Linked DNA regions of Arabidopsis thaliana. The protein of the gene in region 1 interacts with the protein of each later gene in a pairwise test. Each region holds a gene or a part of one and is shown on either strand. Other genes may lie near its edges.

Evidence for each region.
Region 2: the proteins of AT3G03360 (region 1) and SK16 interact in a two-hybrid assay, tested with the Arabidopsis thaliana proteins (one study listed by BioGRID).
Region 3: the proteins of AT3G03360 (region 1) and SK4 interact in a protein complementation assay, tested with the Arabidopsis thaliana proteins (one study listed by BioGRID).
Region 4: the proteins of AT3G03360 (region 1) and SK3 interact in a protein complementation assay, tested with the Arabidopsis thaliana proteins (one study listed by BioGRID).

Annotation. Positions count from the first base shown.
Region 1 is NC_003074.8:792,217-798,845, reverse strand, and holds AT3G03360 (F-box/RNI-like superfamily protein), read right to left. Parts: upstream 3,941-6,629; 5' UTR 3,808-3,940; intron 3,687-3,807; 5' UTR 3,560-3,686; intron 3,484-3,559; 5' UTR 3,342-3,483; coding exon 3,340-3,341; intron 3,215-3,339; coding exon 2,581-3,214; intron 2,467-2,580; coding exon 2,284-2,466; intron 2,219-2,283; coding exon 1,928-2,218; 3' UTR 1,833-1,927; downstream 1-1,832. Other genes in the region: AT3G03370 (uncharacterized protein), read left to right, coding at 72-163, 283-402, 963-1,141, 1,252-1,423; AT3G03350 (NAD(P)-binding Rossmann-fold superfamily protein), read right to left, coding at 4,293-4,313, 4,498-4,599, 4,802-4,900, 5,218-5,310, 5,394-5,470, 5,729-5,918, 6,113-6,148, 6,290-6,353.
Region 2 is NC_003071.7:962,233-967,829, forward strand, and holds SK16 (SKP1-like 16), read left to right. Parts: upstream 1-1,981; 5' UTR 1,982-1,999; coding exon 2,000-2,512; 3' UTR 2,513-2,669; downstream 2,670-5,597. Other genes in the region: AT2G03180 (uncharacterized protein), read left to right, coding at 532-894; AT2G03200 (Eukaryotic aspartyl protease family protein), read right to left, coding at 4,274-5,597. UniProt on the Arabidopsis thaliana protein: Involved in ubiquitination and subsequent proteasomal degradation of target proteins. Together with CUL1, RBX1 and a F-box protein, it forms a SCF E3 ubiquitin ligase complex. The functional specificity of this complex depends on the type of F-box protein.
Region 3 is NC_003070.9:6,983,097-6,989,293, forward strand, and holds SK4 (SKP1-like 4), read left to right. Parts: upstream 1-3,215; 5' UTR 3,216-3,333; coding exon 3,334-3,651; intron 3,652-3,809; coding exon 3,810-3,983; 3' UTR 3,984-4,235; downstream 4,236-6,197. Other genes in the region: AT1G20132 (GDSL-like Lipase/Acylhydrolase superfamily protein), read left to right, coding at 1-117, 206-399; AT1G20135 (GDSL-like Lipase/Acylhydrolase family protein), read left to right, coding at 1,028-1,268, 1,401-1,531, 1,620-1,856, 1,938-2,187, 2,275-2,402; AT1G20150 (Subtilisin-like serine endopeptidase family protein), read right to left, coding at 4,236-4,831, 4,911-5,121, 5,208-5,322, 5,434-5,676, 5,755-5,855, 5,925-6,197. UniProt on the Arabidopsis thaliana protein: Involved in ubiquitination and subsequent proteasomal degradation of target proteins. Together with CUL1, RBX1 and a F-box protein, it forms a SCF E3 ubiquitin ligase complex. The functional specificity of this complex depends on the type of F-box protein.
Region 4 is NC_003071.7:10,945,819-10,951,140, forward strand, and holds SK3 (SKP1-like 3), read right to left. Parts: upstream 3,809-5,322; 5' UTR 3,734-3,808; coding exon 3,416-3,733; intron 3,270-3,415; coding exon 3,096-3,269; 3' UTR 2,929-3,095; downstream 1-2,928. UniProt on the Arabidopsis thaliana protein: Involved in ubiquitination and subsequent proteasomal degradation of target proteins. Together with CUL1, RBX1 and a F-box protein, it forms a SCF E3 ubiquitin ligase complex. The functional specificity of this complex depends on the type of F-box protein.

The DNA.
Region 1 (6,629 bases):
GTTTGACTATGGACTTTTAGAAAAGTGAGTTATGAAGCAGATCTTGAACTTGAATGTTATTTTGTTGGCAGGTTATACAGAGCCGTTGGATGATAATATTGAAGTATTGGTCCCTGATGATGACCATGGACTCTATGCAATTGACATTCTAGATCCCTCTTGGGTATAGTAAAGTAGCTAGATATTACTTTGTGCATTGGCTACTTGTATGCAGTTGTTAAGTTTAGGAGTGAGGATAAGTAAGATGGAAATTGTATCTGCAACCATTTTTGTATCATAAAGAAGGTTGCTAATGAGGACATTTCCGGTCTTGGAGATTTAGTATCTGTTCTTTCAAAGCTTTCTAGGGGTGCTCGTGTTCCATTGGAATATATGTCTCACACTGATCGTCATCGCAAGAAGGTGATATTTCTTGTTTAAACAATCTTTTTGCTTAACAAATCTCTGCTGTTATCTTAAAATCCTTGATGTCACCAAAAAGACACAGATTTTTGTGAATTTGTTATATGCTGCCAATGTTTACATTAAACGATTCTGTTTTCATCGAGTAAAAAACAGAGGATCAAAATACAACTTTTTGGAAAGTGATTTGACAATTTACTTTGTTTAACTCTCTTGATAACATCACTTCATAGGGATTGCTAACAGACTGTTTTATTTTTCAATGTTACAGCATCTGAATAATCTTCCATTTCGTTTTAAAAAAAACAGAGATTTTGATTTCTTCAGTCATCTGTTCTTGAGAGATCGCCTTGGTGGTGGTGATGAGTCTCTGAAATAGCCAACCATATACATTTAGACAACTGCCATTAGAATTCCACAAGGACAACCTATGACTGCAGCTTTCCATGAAAACATTGCTTCTCTGGCTGCTTGGTCTGTGTCGAGCATGGTTCTTGGATTTGCATTCCACATATTTTGTTGTTGTTTGCGTAAATGTTCGGATCGTTCAATCTGTCTAGCTGAGGACTCTCATGGATTCTACCTATAAGTTTGTTGTTGCTCAACTCCATACATTCAGCTCACTGAGCTTGGATAGTTTCTGCGGGATTTCGCCTGAGAGGTTATTGTGTGAAAGGTCTACCTTCTCAAGATTTCCAAAACTTTGTGGGATCAATCCAGAGATGTCGTTGTATGAGAGGTTTAAAAGCTTTAAGCTTTTGAGATTGCCTAAAGAATATGGGATTTCTCCGAATAGCTTGTTATGGAGAGGTCTATCAGAGTGTAGAGGCAGACGTTATTGTTGGCAAGACCTTGCTTTGAATTCTTCCAGTTCACTGCTAAGTTATGTATTACGATAGTGAAGCTGTATATGAAACGCAAAAGCGAAGATGAACTTACGAGAGATTCTTTCATGCCTGTATCCCAGGAGATGAAGGGAGAGATCCATCAAGATTGTTCTCAGAGAGATCCAAGACCTTGAGACTTGTGATATTTGATATGCCTTGCTTCTGTTCCTTAGGCCAAAATTTGTTCGATTCCGCAACTTCTTTTGTCCTAGGTTTGTCACCTCTGACTGATTCTTTGTTTATCTTAGGTACGTGGATCTCAAGGCATGCATAACTAGAATTGAAGAAAATGGATATGGAGCAAATCTTGCTCCTTGGCTCAGCTCCCCACCGGATAGGCTGCAGACAATGCAAATTGATTCTTACATAGCCCGAAAAGAACTCTCTGTTGCTGAATCAAAAGTACTGGAAAGAAATAATATCAAACTGTGTACATGAGAGCTGGATTTGGCGGGTACTGTTTCTCAAGGCAATGCTCGCTCACTAGACCGTTTTTCCGAGGTTAGCCAGTAGATTGGAAATGGTAAAACGTAAAAACAATTTCACAACTTAAAATCAATTTAACAGAATTCGATTATTTCAGTAAGAAAAACAAACAAGAGATTTTCATCTAGTGTACTACTTAAATGTAAAATGACTTAAGTCACTCTGAATCGTTTTCTTCTTGAGCTGAGCACAATGGAGACATCGTTGTTGCGAGGAAGCATTGGAACCATCTGACGCAACTCTACAAAACGTCTTCCTTTGATATAACCTTCCAACCTTGCGACAATCAACTCTAATGTTGATATGGTTTTAAGCACAAGTTGCAGAAACGAAGCCACTTGCTTTGACTCTACATTCCTGCGGGAAGTGTTCTTAAACTCCGAGCTCCAGGATGGATCCCAATTCAAGCCATGAGAATCCAAGTATATGTCAATATGCTCTTCCTGTAATGCAAGTATATTTCAATATGATGATTCAAAATTCGGGGTCAAGGAATATTCATAATTACCGGTATGGGATATGAGCCGGCAGACCCCATTGGGTGTATGGTTAGCTTCTTCAAGTCAGGCGAGTTTTGTAGCACCTTTACTATACCATGAATAACATATCGAGAGATCATTGTCTCAAGTATCAGAGCTTTAGCCTTCAACTTTGGAAAAGAAACACCACGGAGCTCGGCAAGAGATAACATCTATAACAAACAAAAAAAAACAGAAGACAAATGAGTGTATACCAAAAAACACACTAGTTTTCTTGAAAATCAGAGCCTAATTATGTAAACTAAATCAGGAGTGAAAACATATACCTTAAGAAAGTTTGCCCCCAAAGTAAGCTTCTCCACATTCTGACACTTTTCTAACATCTTTACCACCATGGTCTGATGAAAATCAGCCTCCAGTTTATTATCAACTATTGCGTAAGCGGTAATGTCTAGTTCAGCTTGGGATAAAGAGGAGACATCAACTAAAGCACATGGTTTCTCAGAGTTTATCAATCTGAGACAACGGATATGTGGTGCAACGAGCTGTGTTGGCTCCATTCGACATCTACGAGTGATTTCTAATGTTATCAGACGCGGTGATTTGCTGAGATCAAGGACCTTCAGTTTCTTGCAGAAAAACAACAATAAGCTTTCGAGAATGGGACAACCAGATAGAATAATAGCAATGGATTCATCAGAGATGTTGCAATGATACAATGACAGGTTCTTCAGGGATGTCCAAGACACAGAACATTTGGGATTCAGAGATATAAAATCCTTTTTGCAGCCGAAATCAAGGTAGAGTTGCTTGAGAGAGGAATTGATGTAAAGGAATTCAGGGATATCATATTTATCCTCATCGAGATACAGGGACAGATTCTCCACGTTTCGGGACATGGCGAAGTTGATCCAACTGTCGATGTCAGCATGCGTGTCGGGTCTGCTGATACAGGCTGCCCTGCAACAAGAACAGATACGAAAACTCATCATCTTGGGAGCCCTGTAGCGATCTAGGATTCTGTTAATACAAGGAGCATCCGGTCTGTCCCTATGGAAGGAGAGGGACCATGTATCAGACCATACATGCCTCCATCGCCTGGATAAAACGGAAGTTTTGATCGCCAATCTGGTTGGAAGATAGGAGAGAATTAGTTGGAGAATATCATCAGGCAACCTACTGATCAAGTCTCCAGCTTCTTTGAGATAGCTAGGGCTTGCGCATGTACTCTGCAATTTGTATAAATATCGCATCACCCACATAAGAGAAAAAGGATTGGATATTTGGATTATAGAGAGATATTACCTTAGAGGAAGAGAAAACAGTAGACGAAGCATCGGGTCTGGTCGAGTTTTCCTGACTTTCCTTCTCCATCTTTTCGGTTTCCGAGTTCACCTTTTCTTCTTGTATAAACTTTTAGATCTATTGACATCTATAATAAATTTTCGAAGATCACAATCTAAAAATGATATTTACCAATTTGTATATAATGATGATAAAAGGAAGGAAATATAGGGGAAATGAGTAAAGGAGAAGAAGGAGAAAGCAGTTACCAAAAATTAAATTACTGCCGGCACATATCTGCAGAGAAGGAAAGAATGAACAGTGATCAGCCTTGTGACAGCTTTGGCAGGAGTGTTGTCTGTGAGTTTCTGGCAGCAAGTGAATCCCCAAAAGCTTTTCATTAGTCTTCAATATACGCATCACATAACTTTCTTTTCGGTTTTTCTTTTCTAGGAACTCAAGTCCACTGGGCTCAAAAGCCTGTTGGATTACTATATACAGTAGTCCGATTTATCTCGTAGCTGCATCTGAAAACCTCTTGAGCGCAAAGAAACTAAATAGCAAAAGCCAAGGGAAGGCATGTACTGCACTAGATACATCACAAGCAGTACTGGCTGATAAATAGCAAAAAGAAGATCGTATATCAGCATCTAAACTGAGTGAAACATATGCGATTTTGACAAACAAGTACCTGATATGAAATCCAAGCTTCCTTCAAGCTATGAGACGCGGCGATTATAGTCAGTTCTGCATATCATTCAGATGACACACGCTTCTGTGTAGCAAAAGAAAAGATCTTTGAGTGGAAATAAAAAGAGAAAGAAGCCGGAGATAGAAGATCCTAATGTTGAAAAGGAAGAGGATTCTATGTGTCTACAAGACTGATTAGTTGCTTAAAGGAAAGGTACAAGTACAAAAAACTGACAACTTAATCAACAAATCACAATCAGTTAACCAACCTCATGAGACTTCTTGTCTTCCGAAGTTGATGTTCCTGTACCATTCAACGTTTCTATTGGACCAGGAATAACGACGGTCACTTTGATTCCCTCCTGACAGAACTGAAACCATAGGCAGATTGTGAACCAACTGTGAATTGTTACTTTATGGTGCTATTCTCAGCAATTAGTGAAAAGGAATGTAAAAGAAAAAATCAAATCAGAAAACTCTGAGGTAGCTGTGAGTTTTCTATTGTGACTTTCAATAAGTCATTAGCTGCCAAATAATTAGCAAGCACCACAGTTTCTTTAACTTTTAACATACCTCAGAACGCAAGCTGTGGAAGTAGCCGTGCAGAGCATGTTTTGAAGCAGAATATATAGCCTGTCCAGGTGATGGTACCTTTCCTGCAGCACTGCTTATCTATAGACTGACGTGAATTATTAATCATGACATTTAACCCAAGGAAATGGAAAATTAACACATACAAGAATAGCTAACCGTAGTTTGACTTCTCAAGATGTGTATACGGTAACATGATTTGGAATTTAGCAAGCAGAAGACAAAAATACAAAAGAAACCTTAAACTATCTATACATAGCTTAAAAGCCTTAGATTTAACATATAAAAAACGCAATGTATATCCATATCCATAAACTATGATATGAAGCTCAATCCTTCAACAAATCCACAAAATTAGGGCACTTAACAAAAACTATCCCTCGTTAGTCTCCACGTACCACAACAAAATGACCGCCTCCTTGTTTTAGCATATGAGGAGTGACCAACTTTATAAGAGTTATCGTCCCAAAGACATTGATATCGAATGTAGTCTGCACACAAAGTCATTGAATAATCATATGTCACCAAGCAAACCATTGTATGGCCTACGGATTTTATGCAATTAATTTAGTACATTGATAGTTTCCTCACTTGCATCCGATGCCTTGGATTTCTGCAAGAAAAAAAATATGATGATGAAACGACATAAAACTAAGGTACAGAGCATTTAAGGCAAAACCAACACAAATCTCAACCGTTCAAGGCTAAGACAAACCTAATGAAGAAACCTGACAAAAGCGTAGCCAGCAAATAGATTTGTATGAGGATGTTTTGATGGAGAAGGAACTTATAAGGATGCAGAGCTAATGCAATAAACTATTTCAAGATCAATGACGATTCTGATCACAATGCTGAGAAAAAACTAGAGAGTCAGTTTTAACAAGCATTTTGCAGAAGAAGGGAACTTACAAGAATGTTGAGCTTGCCACTGAATCAACTTATCCCTCTGATCTCTAACCGAACCAGACACCACTAAACCACTGGATTTGCAATCATTTAAGCATGCTTTTAGCTCTTCCTGTCTTGTAGTGTAGGAGGCTGCAGGAAGGCAAAGAAAAGCAACCAGTGACGCGATTTCCTCCGGTGCTGGTAATCTTAACTATGTTAACATATAACAGATCTTGCCTAATAGATGGAAAACTTACATGAGATCAACAAGCATCACTATATGGTTCAACAAAAAACCGTAAGCCTTCACATTACATGTATGGAATAGACAGATAGCTGATCATTCGAGGCAAAACCACCAAAAGTCTAAACCATTCAATCCTAAGACCAAACATATATAGAAACCTGATAAAAGTGTGGCAGAATGGTTCGAAGATTGTTCTATCGGATAAGAAACTTGCAAGGATACGAGCTAATGTGATATGTAGAATTTCAAGATTGGTGAAGATTCCAATGTGTAGAAAATTCAATAAAAAAAGCATAGAAAACAACAAATGTCTTTAGCATGAGAAGGGAACTTACAAGGATGTTGAGCTTGCCGCTGAAAGCAGAAGAAACTTCCTGAGTCAACTTATTCCTCTGATCCCTAACCATTTATGTGCAACTCCATAGTCAAACACAGACAAAATCTTCCAAGTGATCCTCATCAACCATTTGCTTTCAGATTTTGATTTTGGTGACAGGAATCGATTTGAGAAATAACCCCAAAACCTGAAATAGAATCAATTGTATCTAAAATGGGATTGAGAGACGTCAAAATTGTTTTGAATAGAATGAATTGTACCTAAAAACAACAACTTTCATCAGATTGAGAGAAGAAGACGAAAAACTAATATGGAGCTAGCAACATGTATACTATTTC
Region 2 (5,597 bases), on another chromosome or scaffold:
TAGTTATACGTACAAAATAATTTAGTTTATATTATTATTATTTATTTTTTTCCTTTTCCTTCCCAAATCTAGGATGGGAATAAAATACTTCGTTTTAATATTCTTTTTTTTCTTTTCGGGTTGATAATTGAGAGGTTAAGATTTTCTTAGAGCGATTTATTATTTTATGATATTAAAATATACGGACGATATACTGAAAGAAAATTCATGCGAGAGGATGTTAATATGCAAATTAATACTATTCAGTTGAATTTTGCCATGCAATCTTTTTGGTCGTAAATTTTGTTGAAAACTTATCCAATCTCATATGAAGCGTCCCAAGGCCCATATCAACACTTATTACGTAGAAAACATCATAAAGCGAGAGAAAAAGAGAGAGAGGCAGAGAGATAGGAGCGTATGGGCTTTCTTTTTTGTTTTGTCAAACAACTTTAATTTACTTAAAACCTAAAAGAGGGATGTTCATACAAATAGAAACTGAAAAAAACACAAAAGGAGGAGAGATAATGGCTCCATGAGTTTTTCAAAAAGATGCTCATCTTTAAAGAGTTTGCAAAGATTAAAAAATCTGTTGAAGCAAAAATTGGGTTCGCCCATAAAGACAGACTTCACAAATTCCTCGACCACCATGTGGTTATAGATGGCTCGAGCGAACAACGCATACAAGCTTTTAAGAAAACGTTCCACGGAAGAAGCTGCCGGATAAGAGAGATTGTCGAAGATTCGGTAACTACTTCTCCTTGGAGATGCAGTCAAAATGCCGTTATTCTTCAAACTTTGAAAGGTTTGCAAATTGATCAAGAGCTTGTCGAGCCTAAAGAGTTGCTCACCTTAAGAATTACTAAAGATTGCTTTATAATCCTAGAAAAACCACCAATCGCAGATGTTGTGTAATGTCATATACATGAGCTCAGAATTCAGAGGAAATGGATTTAAAGGATTGAGAAAACTTCGGTAATCATCGTTCCGTAAAGACGGGCTCATAATGCTGAATTTCTTCAAGCTTTTGGTTTCATGAATTAATTTCCGTAGAGAAGGAGCGTATGGCTTAGTTCTAGAGAACTTGTTCTTGTCTTTGATGCCTAAAGCAAAAAAAAAAATTAGCCCATTAACAAGTAATAGAAAAAAAAATACACAAAAACTGTAGACTATATCGAACTCGTCTAATTGAAAGGCAACATAACCACTGTGCCAGAAAAACTTTTTGGAAATTGATGCCCTCTAAATCATTAATACCGTTTGGCGCCTAAAGCCCATGCTTCACCAGCTTTAGCTCAGGGCCGGCCCTGGACATCATAGTGCTCCTGGTAACTCGTTTCTGTTTTGGAGTACCCCGGTAAAATTAAGTTATGAGTCTGCCACTACATAACTGCCATAATAAAAAAGTCAAAACATCTAAACCACATTTAATTACTTATATAAACAATATTCCTCAGAATTAGATTGTTTAAATTAATCTAATAAAGTTATTGACAAAAAAAAAATTGTTGCTAAAATGCTAAATGTTGAAAAAGTAAGTATCTTAGAACAAAGTACATGTCATCAAATTAATTATTTCTAAAACTTATAAATAAAAAAATCTCACTATATTATACTATATTTAATATTTACATTGAGTTGATAAGAGATACCAAAAATTAAATTTTGCTTTTAGGTGAAATCCTATCTATAATGGTTAATATTTTTAAAATATTAAATTACAATATTAGTATAACTTATATAAAATCTAATCAATATAATTTTATTAGCATGTGTGTAGTATATGTATGGGTCAAATATTAAAAGAAAATATAAGAGCCTAACAATTAATTATATAGTAGGATTTTGTTATATTTATTTTTCCTTACTATATTTCCTAAATTAAAGATTTGACCCACTCTCAACTCATTATAAAAAGAGAGACATTATTTCATAGCTTCATCAATTTTATTCAACAATTTCTCTCATTTCATTTCTTCCATAAAATCTCTCAAAAATCAACAAAACAACAAAACAAACAATGTCTTCGAACAAGATTGTGTTGACTAGCTCGGATGATGAATCGTTCGAGGTTGAGGAAGCGGTGGCTCGTAAATTGAAGGTCATAGCACACATGATCGATGACGACTGCGCCGATAAAGCAATCCCGCTTGAAAACGTCACCGGAAATATCCTCGCTTTGGTTATCGAGTATTGCAAGAAACACGTACTTGATGATGTTGATGATAGTGATGATTCTACTGAAGCAACAAGCGAAAATGTAAACGAGGAAGCCAAGAACGAGCTCAGGACTTGGGACGCAGAGTTCATGAAAGAATTTGATATGGAAACAGTCATGAAACTCATTCTCGCTGTTAATTATCTCAACGTCCAAGATCTTCTTGGTCTCACTTGCCAGACCGTTGCAGATCACATGAAAGATATGTCGCCAGAGGAAGTTCGAGAACTCTTTAACATTGAGAATGATTACACACCTGAAGAAGAAGACGCGATTCGTAAGGAAAACGCTTGGGCTTTTGAGGATCTAAAGTAAAACCATAAAGTTCCGTTTTCTAAGTGTTGATCTCGATGTTCTTTAATCTTTGTTGATTGCATTCGTTTCTTTGAATTCATGGTTTGTGGTTTCCTTTTGTATTTCATCATGTTATAATGTTTAACAATATTTACTTATATATGCCAATGTTAATTAATTCTTTCCAACCAAAAAGCCTCTGGCGATTCTGAATTCTTTCGCCAGCGGAACAGTATAAAATATAGCGTACATCGCCACCGTTTGATGAAGACTTGGGCACTGGAAATTTATCAAAATACATGTGCCCTAGGGCTTCTCTCTGTTAAAAAATTAAACATTTACGATTTCTTTTAGCCACGTAGTGAAAATTCATAATGAAATGATAATTCAATGCATACCTACACATATCGCATATGTATTATTTTACATTAAATGTAATAAATTAAATCATTTCATATTTTCTAAATAATGTAATGGTATTTTTCTATCATAGAAAGTTATTTGTGAAAAGTATGAAAGCATTTAATTACATTTAATGTAAATTAATACATATGGGATTTGCACCCAAAATTAAAATAAAATAAAATAATAATAATCCATATGGGATATGTGGCTATGTATGCATGCATTGAACTATAATTTTCATTATCTACATTTATAAATTAGTTTTAAGAGAGGCTTCACAATGGGTCGATTTAGCAAGAATATATAAATTATTACGGGCCCTTTAAAGCCCATAATATACTAAACATCCCGTGAGTGTCAATTGTCAAAGGCTAAAAGCTAATTCAAGCAATCACATTTTAGTCTAATCCTTTTCATGTTCCGAGATATCGACCAAAGAACATTCGACACCAAATCCACATATGCTCTAAAGTTCTATATGAGAGAGAAATATACAATCGTAGAAGGAACAGATCTAAAATACTATCTAAAATACAATATATCTTTTTTCCTTCTAAAAACATATGTTAAAATTTAGTGAATCAGTATAAGATAATAAGATACATCAATATATTTCATGGTTTTCAAACAATTTGATTTAAGAAAGAAAAAAATAGGTGAGATGGTTAGGGCTTAATTATGTTTGTTAGGCGACGTGTTTATAATTCCAAATTGATAAAAATTGCATGACGCATGCATTTCATCTCTTTCTCTCTCGAGTTGCTTGGAAGTTGAGCCAACCCCTTTACTTTGCTTCCAAGTTTAATAATTTTAATAATAATTAGTGTTCATTATTGTCAATAATTCTAATATTGAATCATCATATCAATGTCTATATCAAAGTTGTTCATGGTGGAACAAGACCTTCCAAAACAAATTACCACTCTTGTTACGTAAATATTAATATATATATATTAATTAGAAGATTCTCCAATCTATGGTTAACAATTTATATAGATTTTAATAATCAAAAATAGACTACTTTTTGTTACAAAATGTTACCTTATTTAGAAGTTTTTCCAGCTTTAACTCACACATGATGCGGCAAAAAAATCCAAGCACATGATAATTATCTTTGTGGTTTCACGGGCACATGGAAACATATACAATTACTTAATTTTTAGTCTAGTTAGGTTCATCAATATGCAAATTAAAATGATTTTTTTTCCTTTTTGTGGCAAAGAGACTTCTGTTTTTTCATACCAGCAAAACAGTAAACCAATATTTTCTATGTAGTCGGATATATAATTTACTCGGATAAAACTATTGAAGCACTTGACATTGTCACAAAGTATAAATTTCATTTATAATAAAAGAAAAAAAAAACAAATTAAAAATCTACAATTTTCCACATTCAGTGGGAACAAACGACACCGTTTCTTTCTCAAGATCATGAAGTACATTAAAATTCTGCTGTTGAACATTTCCGAAAATAGACATCCCATTAGAACTTCCCATGGCCAAACACAAAACGCCGGTGCTTGAATCCGCCACCATGTAGTTCTCTCCGGGAAGCTCCAAATCAGCACCTTTAAAATGAAAAATCATCTTAGGAACAGCAATATTCTTGGCAGCATCAGGTAACTTGAAGCACAAGTCAAGTCCCGTGGATCCAGAGTCATCTACTGGTAAACTCATCCGAGAAGTAAACTCCTCTTTCAACACTTTAAACGCGGTCTCCTCGAGATACGTGATGGTCGTGCCTGAGTCTATGATCATACCTCCGGTTCCATCTTCGGCTAGTTCAAAAGTAGACTTTTCAACAGAAAGGCGTTTTGCTCCAACGGTGATGCCTTGTAACTCAAGGTAATAGAACGAAGGCTGATCTGGATTTCGTAGCAAAGACATCGTTTTGGTGACTTCACCATCTAAACTTGCACCTGTTTTGTTGACGATACCCGAGGCTAAAGATCCAATAAACAACGAGCTAGATGCTTCACTATCCTCAATCGAGGTCAAGCAATAAGAAAACTTAGTCTCTTTGAGCTGAGAAATAAGCGAGAGCGGTCCGCGACCAAGACCTACAAGACCTGACCCTTGAGAGAACCCGTCGCCTTCGTTCTCAACCCCACACCCAAACCCGATACCAGAAATCGAGTTCTCGTCCTCGAAAGTGAACGTTTCCGTGGCCAAGAGCCCTCTTGTAGATGAGTAATCTCCATAAGTATACAAATACTCACAAGCATCTTTATCTTCGTTACAGTTTGATCGAGGCAATGCGTTACAAAGACCAGAAGAGCATCCTACTTTCGAGTAAGAGGAAGATTTCTCCGGGTCAAAAATCGGAGTTGGTTGATCAAAACATTCAGTGCAAGGCTTGCATTGAGTCCAAATAAGGTCACTTCCGGTATCAACAATAGCAGAGTATTTAACCGCCGGGTTTCCAATAGACAACTCCATAAGAAACTCACCGCTTCCTCCATGAGTAGGTGCTTTAATGTTATTAGTATCATCAGGCTTAGAGGCTACAGCTAAAACAGCTACAGCTCCTAATCTGTTTAATCTATGGAATCCACGGTTAATCCCTCTCTGAATCTTTTGGATCTTGGTGAGGTTTTTACCGGAATCCACATGTCGAAGACTCAATCGAAAACCGGATCTCGGAAGGTTTTTCGGAAGAGTACGGTCGATTAATGATCTTCTTGACGATGAAACCGAGATT
Region 3 (6,197 bases), on another chromosome or scaffold:
ACGTCAAACTCTCCAACATTTTGGACCAATTGGCAAAAAACCTACCAAATTCCAATCTCATTTACATTGACATATACTCTGCTTTCAGTCACATCTTAGAAAATTCAGCAGATTATGGTAATATTAGAACGTGAATATTTAATTCTTATAAGTACTAAACTATACAAGCTCATGTATATATAACTTGAGTTGAGAATTAATGCAGGGTTTGAAGAAATAAAGAGAGGTTGTTGTGGAACTGGATTTGTGGAAGCTGGTCCACTTTGCAATCGATTCACAACATTTGTGTGCTCCAATGTATCTGCTTACATGTTTTGGGATAGTCTCCATCCTACCCAAAGATTCTATAAAATCTTAACCAAAATACTTTTTGAGAAATACATCCACAATTTAAATTGAGTAGTGTGATCAAATGACTCACATTGTATGCTTTTATTTTTCTTAAAGCTTGTGCAGTTGTTATAAATTGTACAAAATTATTGTAAGTCACTATATTGATTACCAATTGATTTTAAGAGAAACTTTTATCACTCTTCACATGCTTTCAAAGATCAAATCCATATCAATCAGTTCATTTGATCGACAGCTATTCTGTTTATGTAATGATTATCTTTTTCTTTTTAGGTCATGATGATGTAATAATATTATAGCTCTCTGAAGTAAAGTAATCAACTAGATAACATGAAATATAACCAAATTATATGATTTAATCTGCACATTGTTGTGGGGGTAAATCAGTCAAATAATTGAATAAGACTGAGTGGTAAGACTTGATTTGCTGGATTGGCTAAATATATATTATCAGTCCAGTGATACAGGGAAGAGTGTTGTTCTTTAACCACAAAAACAAACAAGTTTCATACCATTATTCAAGGGACTCGATGAACTCTCTCAACCCTTCTTCACCTTTGTATAAAGTATGACGATAAAGTAAACAAATTCTTTAAAAAAAAAGAAAAACTAAATTGAAACTAAAATTCGAAACAAAAAAAAATACTAACAAAATAAAACCTAAAATTTATTTGAGATGGAAAATGCAAACATCAAAGTTCTAGTAGTATTATTGTCTATATGGATTTCATGTGTTCAAGCTCAAACTGGAACATTTTCAGCAGTTCTTGCATTTGGAGATTCGATTCTCGATACTGGTAACAACAATTTGCTCATGACAGTATCAAGAGGCAATTTTTTGCCATATGGACGCGATTTTCCTCATCGTATTCCTACAGGAAGATTCGGGAATGGAAGAGTTCTATCAGATTTAGTTGGTACTAATTGTTCTCTATACAACATATATATATAAGACCAATTTTCTCTTTCACATTCTTTAACCTAATGAGTAATCAAATAGTTCGAGAATCATTCTATAATGAAAATGTACATGGTATATATGTATGTAGCCAGCGGTTTAGGGGTAAAAGATCTTTTACCTGCTTTCCGGAGCCCATTTCTTAAAAATAGTGAACTCGCTACCGGCGTTTGTTTTGCATCCGGTGGTTCAGGGTTAGACAAATTCACTGCATCTATACAGGTAAATCTACTTGTTATGTACTTCTTACTTTCAATAAGATAAAGTAATATATGTTCTTACTCATTTACTATATGTGCAAACTATATAGGGGGTTATATGGGTACAAGATCAGGTGAGTGACTTTCAAAGATACTTAGAAAAGTTAAACCAACAAGTTGGAGATGCAGCTAAAGTCAAAGAGATTATAGCCAATGCTGTGATTCTAGTGTCTGCTGGTAATAACGATCTTGCCATCACATATTTTTCAACTCCGAAGAGACAAACGAGATACACTGTCCAAGCATACACTGATATGCTCATCGGTTGGAAAACTACCTTCATAAATGTATACAACACACATTTATTTATAACTTTTTTTCTTCATAATATTGTTCTACCTATAATGATTATTTTGTATGAATAACAGAGTCTATATGATCTAGGAGCTAGAAAATTTGCAATTCTTGGAACGTTACCGTTAGGGTGTTTGCCAGGGGCGAGACAAATTACCGGAAATTTGATATGTCTTCCGAATGTAAACTATGGTGCTAGAGTTTATAATGACAAAGTAGCTAACTTGGTCAATCAGTACAACCAAAGGCTTCCCAATGGCAAATTCGTCTACATCGATATGTATAACTCACTTCTTGAGGTCATCAATAATCCTAGCCAATACGGTAAAACATTGAGTAACACACGCAAATTTTGAATATATATGGTAGAAAAAACAAGGGTGCTAATTTCTACATTGTAATACATTTCAGGGTTTACGACGGCAAAACCATGTTGTTGCTCGGTGATGACTCCGATTCCGTGTTTAAGATCTGGTAGTCACGTGTTCTGGGACTTTGCCCATCCTTCTGAAAAAGCCTATAAAACTGTTCTACCTTAGATCCTCAGTACCATCCAAAGCAACCTCGCCTAGTCACTAATTTTCTCTTTCTTTTTTATATTTAGACATGAGAACCATGAACCTTGGTTTGAATATGATTAGTTCCTCGATCGACGATGAGCCGCTTGTAGGTCTCTATTGTTAAGCTTGATTTATGTGTTCTCATCAATTAATCAGAATCAGTGATAATTTCATTTGCAATAATTTTGGTGCTTCTTAGTTTACCAAACCAGAAAAGTTATGTGTTTGGAAAAGAAGAAAAAAATACTAGAAGAAGATAAAAGATTTCCATCCAACACAAATACAAAGATCAACAAATGAGAGAAATACAACACAAATAAATATGTTATTAATTTTGGTTTGTTTAGTGTAACGCAATATTTTTCCCAAAAATTGTGGTGTTTGTTACCTACTTTTTACATTTTCCTTGATATTCACTACAAAATACCCAAATAATAATTCATAATTTCACATAGATTTTTACATACAAACGTGGAGGTTTTCTTTGATTAAAACATAAAAACCCTAGTCAATGATTTTTGCACACGTAGATAAACTGTATTTTCTGAAATCAGATGTAAATCTGAAAAAGTAAATATTATTAACGGAATACAGCTAAGGTGAAGTTTGTGGAAAAGTAAAAATATTTACTTTATTTAAAACAACATAAATTTTCCATTTTTTAAAAACTTAAATTTCCAATATTTGTTTTACTTTTTACTGTTCTCCTATTAGTAAAAGGAGTAGATTAACTTAAAAGCAATAAGCCGGCAAAAAAAAAAAAACTTAAAAGCAATAAACCGACTTGAATACCAATTAAGAAATTGGCTATAAATAAGGCTCCAACTTCCCAAACCTTGACACCATCACAACAATCAATCGCAGCGCCGATTCTCCTTCAAAAACTTTTCCTAAGTCGTCACTTTTTACGATGGCAGAAACGAAGAAGATGATCATCCTTAAGAGCTCCGACGGTGAATCCTTCGAGATCGAGGAAGCCGTCGCTGTTAAGTCCCAGACGATTAAGCACATGATTGAGGACGACTGTGCCGATAACGGAATTCCACTTCCCAATGTCACCGGAGCCATCCTCGCCAAGGTTATTGAGTATTGCAAGAAGCACGTTGAAGCCGCTGCTGAAGCTGGTGGAGACAAGGATTTCTATGGTTCCGCTGAGAACGACGAGCTTAAGAATTGGGACAGCGAATTCGTCAAAGTCGATCAGCCTACTCTCTTCGATCTCATCTTGGTTAGTAAAGTCGCTTTCATTGTTTAGGTTTGATGTTGTTAGAATTAGGGTTTTTAATTTGGGGATTTAGGTTTGATTTTGCAGGATTCTGTTAGGGTTTTAGTGTGTTGAATGTCGTTTTGATTTGACTAATCGTTTTGGTTCTTTGGTTTGTACAGGCTGCGAACTATTTGAACATCGGTGGACTTCTTGACCTTACGTGCAAGGCCGTGGCTGATCAGATGAGAGGCAAAACTCCAGAGCAGATGCGTGCACACTTCAACATCAAGAACGATTACACACCTGAGGAAGAGGCGGAGGTTCGCAATGAGAACAAGTGGGCGTTCGAGTGATTGGATCGGATCTGAAGGGTGTTTAGGAATCTCTAGTCTTTCTATTTAGATGTGTTTAGCTTTCAAGATTTCGGATTGTTTTTTTTTTCTTTCTTTTTCTCTTCGATTGGAGTTGTCCTTGTCGATGAAAACCTAATGCTTTGTTCTACTAACAACATCTATTGGTTTTTATGAGAAATATTTGAGAGAAAGTGTTGGTCTTGCTTAATCTTTTTGCTCTTTATACATGAATGTGTTCTCTTTAGATTATCGTTAACGTTCGCTATCGTTGTCGTCTTTGCTGGTTACAACGAATGGACTTCTCACATTGTACATTCCGTTAGACCATGTTATAGATCCAAACGCATCGTCCTTGAGTATTGTTGTAGTAGATGAAAAGATCACTTGGTAGCTGAGTTTATCTCCTATCTTCCTGAAGTGTAGCCTTCTTGGTATAACTCTGACTAGTAATCCTTCTGGTGCATCGATACTCACAGTGTAGACTGTATCTTCATCTCCAATGAGGCGTGATGCTACATTTGTCACTGTTCTGCTTACCCTTCTGCTTTCTTTTCCATTGAAGTTAGAAATCGAGATTGATGGGTAGTTGATGTTAGATATGTCTCCCCTGTTGCTTTGTTCAGGACAAGCAAAACCTTGTGGTATGCGGTTTGATATCTTTTTGATCTGATCAGATGTAAATCCATAGTAGCCGAGGAAGTTTAGGTAGTCCATGTGATTGGTTTCATAAATCAGTCCTGGTGATGAAGGTCCAAATATAGTAACCTGCCCAGCACCAAAGTCATAAGGTGTGGCCTTTTCTCCTGTTTCTGTAGTTATATGGGAACCTGTGTTGGTCATTTGCACGGCTGCAGATACAGTTGACTTGGGTTAACTCTAGCTGATCAATCATCCGTAACTGGTATCTACTTGATTTTGATTTCTCACCTGTTGTCATGATGGCAGATCTGATTGCTGCAGGACTCCATGAAGGGTATCTGGATTTGAGACGAGCAGCAATCCCGGAGACATGGGGACATGACATTGAAGTCCCTGATTCAATGTTGAAGAGTGGCGGTGGCTTGCCTTCTGGTGCTGCATTTCTGTCACCGACTAACCACGATGCTAGTATGTTGACCCCTGGTGCTGCAATATCAGGCTGTAACAGGTTTATCAATATTTTGTTTTTGAAGTTTCTGTGAATACTGTTGAGATCATGTTTATGATGAATATTAGGGCTTATACCTTGAGGATGCTTCTGGTAAGCAAGTAAGGACCTCTTGATGAGAAGGATGGTATGGATGGAGCTAACATGTGTCCTGTTCGTGATCTTGTAGGCATGATTGTTGCAATTGGTTCTCTACAATATGGATTATGATATATTAGTTCTGTTTTTTTTTTTTTTTTGGGTAAAAATATTATTATTAGTTCTGTTTGAAAGCAATGTCTTGTGAAATGAGACATCTTAAACCTTGTTGAATTTATGTAGGACATGATTTGTATGCCGTCCTCTGGTTTTATTATTGTCACTAGAAAGGAGGGATCAATAAAAGACAGATCCATTGACTCGTCATCAACAAGTACCATACCGATACCTCCAAGTCTCTTAACCTCGTCGCTTTTCCACTGGATCACCTGGTTATCAAGATCACTGTCACACACAACAATCTTTCCCTTAACAATGGTTTGGTCTAGTGTATCAGGTGCGCAGTTCCTGAAGGTTTGCAGTTGTGTTGTCTTGTTAGTATAGGTATAGCAAAGTTACTCTATAATTTTACGAGGCAACTATTACCTAGCAGCTTCCTCATTAGCATCAATCTTCTTGGCTGATCGTGCGTGTATAAGTGGGTAAGCCTGTGTTTTATCGATATTGGCAATATTTATTCCAAAACCCTGCAAAAGAAATTCTTTAAGATGTTATGTGAATGGAGATTTGTCCGTTGATTGGCTTTTCCTTCTTACCTCGATTAATCTGTTTTCATCTCCTCCCAGAAGAATGTTGGACTCAAAGCCACGGTCAATAGTGCTGGCAGCAACAGTGATCATCCATGGAGCAGCATTAAACACACTTTGACTCGATGGGCCAGAATTTCCTACAGAGCAAACAACAGTGATCCCTCTTTCCACGGCATGAAATGACCCGATGGAAAGCGGATCTTCAAGTAAATTGTCTGGCCATAAGCCCATTGATATGGATATAACATCAACCCCATCTGCGATTGCATCATCAAATGC
Region 4 (5,322 bases), on another chromosome or scaffold:
CAAATAATCAAGGTATGAAATTAATTTAAAATCTACAATCTATTAAATAAAATATTTTTTTTGACCAAATATGTTTTTTACTCAAAAAAGAAAAGGATATTCCTTTTTAGTGAAAGGATATACAAACATAATTATATATCTGCCATAAACAGTTCAACATTTTTGTAATATAAAATGACCATGCATAGCAAAACAACTATCACAAAAAAAATCTCAACCATCACAAAACGATAGTTAAACTTAAACCAACAATTTCTACCTTCTTCCAAGTTTCTGGTTGTGATATATCTACTCCCTAATTTCTACTTTTAAAGGGAAGTCGAACTAATATATAATTGTATAACTTGTCCCATGGTTATAAACATATGCAGCGAAACTAATTGGTAATGATGAATCAATATGGTACAGTTCTTCCAAACTACATGTCACGATTTGTTTCTGATATTTTATAACTTAAGTTGATCAGAACAATTTTCAGTTCTATTATTTGATTTAAGTTTTATGATTCTGGTATTCTAGTAAAGTTTTTTCAAAATATGTCAAATGACTGCATTTATTTTTTCCTCAGTTCTACATATCCCAATGACTACATGTCTAAATATATGGAAATATTGGAGCTACATATTGAAATTTTAATGGTAAATCCCCTCTCCTGTATTTAGGTCACATATATATGTTGTCCATAAAAAAAAAATGCTGTCCATGAGCTAAAATATAATTATATCTTTTAACAAAAAAAAATTTAAATTCCGTTTTAAACTAACAATTTGCTGAATAATAACAGTGAATTTTTAAATATTTTTTTATTCTAAAAGGCAAAAGTGAATTTTGTAAGTGAGCGAGTAGCTAAATGTGAGCATGCATGGGAAATGGTAAAAAAAGAAGAGAAATTGATCAAGACAATACTTCAAAGGTCCGAACATCTTCATCATTCGCAACATGGTCCGTATGGTATTTATATATGCATTAGTTATATAATTATCTATATGATAATTAAACTCTATATATAATTGACTTATATGGCTTGGGTTTAATTAATTTTCTTTTTTCTGTGATTCTGCTTGTAGTCGAAATTCTTAATTTGATGGTTGATGTGAAGCACACATCAAATGTGATTATAGAAGAAAGATCATCAAGTTCAAAAAAAGTAAACAAAAAGAAGAAAAAATTAGAAAATGATTGATATGATCACTATAATTTATGGGTACATATGTTTAAATATCATTTAATAGTGTAATGAAAATTTATTGAGATAAAATGAGGCTAAGAATTTGGTTATGATTGGATACTGCAAGATATATGTCTATCTCTCTCCTATTATTTGTGATGTCGGTGATATGAACATGAACTATAAGTCATGTCCTCCGCCTCCACTAATCATCTATAAACATATCAAAATAGCCACAATACCCGTTTGTGTATTGTAGAACAGTCTTCCATGTATGTCAGAATCCAAGAACATACAAACCCTAAATTCAAAATCCTAGACTATACACGAGATTAATTCAGAATCCTGGAAAGGGTAAATCAAAGCCTAGCTATTTTCGAAGATCTATGATACAGTGATGATCAAAGATGTTGATGATCGAATAAGTCAAATTGAATATTTTCCAACGCGATGCCTCAGGTTGATCAATGATCATCTTCCAAGAACGAAAAATTCAAAAGATCTTGCATACAAAATAAAGGAATGAGTCACAGACTTTAGGAGGCTCACCAATATTATTTAGAACATTTCATCTGAAAGTTTACGATACAGGTCATCCTTAGCAGCTTAGACAAAAAGGTAAGGATAACACAATTTAATATCACATTCAATACAAGTGCAAAAAAAATAGTTTATAAAGAAAAAATCTTCCATCTATCCCCCACACAATAAATCATACACAATAACAACGAGATTCATACTTTATGAAGCCATCATTTGAGATAAATTAATAAATGTATGATCTACTGTGTCTATTGACTTTTTGTTTTTAGATTTAGGTTCTGTTATTTTGTTACGTATGTTCATAAACTTTTAAAAGTTTGATTAATGAAATCACATTCATAATTTCGTAAATTGAGTCGTGATCTGATATAGTGTTATTGTTAATGTAGAAACAAACATGAATACAAAATCTTTTCTAAGTTAGGACCAATCATTTTAAACATTCAGAGTCTATCTACAAAAAGATATAATAAGCAATCAAAAGCAATTTAACATTATTACTAACCTGTGTTTTATTTTCGAAAATAAGTCATTTGTCACTGCGACTAATGCTTCTAAATATTGCTATAGGAAACATCTATGATTGAAAACATTTGACTTAGTTTTATATAACACTCGGAATCTATCCCTTTTGTTTTAAAGATTATAATGAACTCTTCTTACCTTTGTATTGGTAACAACAGAGTTTAGTGTCTTTCTTACCAAACATTGACCGTTCTCATCTGAGATATACAAGCATATACAGCAAAACATATTAGTTGGTATAAGCAGAATCATCTGAATTATGCCAATCATGTACGAGTTTGATCAATGTATAAGGAAAGCTTATTTTTAATTTCACTATCACCAAAACAAAACCATTTTTATATTGGTTCGAATGATGCAAAAGGTCCTTTCTTCCTTTCTGTAACCAATTTAGTTATACATACCAATCATTTTATAAGGAAATTCAAAAAATCTATATCTTAAGCAGATAAGAAAGGAAGATAAGCTCTTACCATTGGATTTCAGAAATTGAGACTATTTCAGATCCGACCATGTTCATCTGGCCTCATATCGTCTATGGCTCGGGCAAACATGTTATTGTATCATAAAATAAACGTGGCAAATTGGATATATAAATACATCATAATTATATAGCTTATATAGATAGACGTATTATTATCTCTTTTCTGTTTTTTTTGTCTGTGAAATCGTTTGATTGATAATGCATATTACTTTGTGATTTTATGTATATAAAGTTTAGCCGGGATTGAATGAAGAAAATGTGAAACACTTCTGGGAGTTTTGTGACAAAAGAGATTGGAAGCAAAAAGAAATTCAGGCAAAATAAATTTCTCTTATTTTATTTGTTGATATCAAATGTTCTTAAATTCTTTTCCAATCACTCGAACGCCCACCTGTTCTCATTGCGAACCTCGGCCTCTTCCTCAGGTGTGTAGTCGTTCTTGATGTTGAAGTGTTCACGCATCTGCGCTGGAGTTTTGCCTCTCATCTGATCAGCCACGGCCTTGCACGTAAGGTCAAGAAGTCCACTGATGTTCAAATAGTTGGCAGCCTTTATAAACCAAGACGATTAGTCTCCAAATCAAAACACAACATTCAATAATATAAATAAAACCCTAACATAGTCATGGAAAAAATATAAAAAACCCTAATTCTAAAAACATAAAACCAAAAAACAAAGAAAAAGACATTACTAACCCGAAGGAGATCGAAGAGAGTAGGATGATCAACTTTGACGAAATCGTTGTCCCAAGTCTTGAGCTCGTGGTTCTCGGTGGAACCATAGAAATCCTTGTCTCCACCAGCCTCAGCAGCGGCTTCAACGTGTTTCTTGCAGTACTCGATAACCTTCGCGAGGATGGCTCCGGTGACATTGGGAAGTGGAATTCCGTTATCGACGCAGTCGTCCTCGATCATGTGCTTAATCGTCTGGGACTCGACCGCGACGGCTTCCTCGACCTCGAAGGATTCACCGTCGGAGCTCTTGAGGATGATCATCTTCTTCGTTTCTGCCATCGTTTGCAACAAGGACAAAGGACTAGACAAGTTTTGAAGAGAATCGGCTCTGCGATTGATTGTGAATTGTGTGATGGTCTCAAGGTTTGGGAAGTTGGTGCCCTATTTATAGATCTATGTAAAAACAATTTCTTACTTGGTAATTAAAGTCGGTTGATTGCTTTTATGTTAATCTAATCCTTTTAATAATAGGAAAACAATAAAAGGGAAACAAATATTGGAATTTTAAGTAACAAAATCTTTATTATTTTTTTCTTTTAAAGAGAAATATTTTTACTTTTCCAAAAGCTCAACCTTAGTAATAATATTTACTTTCCAGATTTACCCGTATCTGATTTCAGAAAATACAGTTAATCATCTACTACGTGTGAAAAAATCATTGACTAGGGTCTTATGTTTTAATAAAAGTAAACCTCCACGTTCACATAGATTATGAATTAATTATTATTTGTGTATTTTGTAGTGAATATCAATGAAAATGTAAAAATTGGTAACCAACACCACAATTTTTTTAATAAATTATTATTTACTGGGTAAAACTACGTTACACTAAACAAACTGAAATTAACGAACATTCATGGGTTTTGGTTTTTAAAATTGTTGGAGAAAAATATGATTATAGTTTTAGTTAATTTTTATGTTCATTTTGTGTGTGAATTAGATACTGTTCTTTTCTCCATTCAGATGATCTTTTAAATTATTATAAACGAACGTCAATATTTATCTTCATTTAGATGAATCATCGAATGGAAAAACGAACAGTACTTTAAAAGATTAGCGAGAAGGATCAGTTGGATGGTTTTTAATAAACTCATTTAAAAAAGGAACAGAACAGCAGTTAACGGAAGCTGATTTAATCCAAAATACGAAATGTCATAAAATACACCTACCTAAAAAGAATTCCAGCAAAACCTAAACCTATTTCTCCTTCATTCCTCGACATTCACTTCGCCGGACCTCTTCACTGGATCTCTCACTAGAATTCACTCCTATCTCTTGCCGTAATCCACTATTCTTTGCCGGATTTCTCGTGCGTTCTCTCTCTCTCACTCACTCTCTCCTTCTATCTCTCTGTTTCATGGATTTGATTTCACTATTTCTCACTCTCCCCTTCTACCTCTCTATCTCTTGCAGTAAGACTCACGGGTTTGATTTGTCCTTGAGTCATTAGATGGATTCGATTATTTATTTTAGCTCGTTTTGGACAAAGTAAGATTCATGGGTTTTGTATTGAGTTTATGATGCTTATAAGCTATAATTTTCATGGGTTTTTGTATTTGTCGAGATTCATGGGTATGAGCTGATTCATGAGTTTTGTATCTATTGTGTATTTAGAAACTGATATGCTTTAGAATTGTGTGTCAGTTTAGGGTATAATTTAGGTCAGTTTATCACTGTCAATAACCATCTTTCAGTTATATCAATGCTGTATTTTCATCTAGTTCAGTATTAGATTGTTTGATGAAAAGTAACAAAGTATCAATATGTCATTACTAAATCAGGATTTATATGCTAACAGAGTTAAGCTTAGATTTGGGAATTAACAATAAGCTGCATCGGTAGACATAAGTCAGAGAATTTTGTTATAC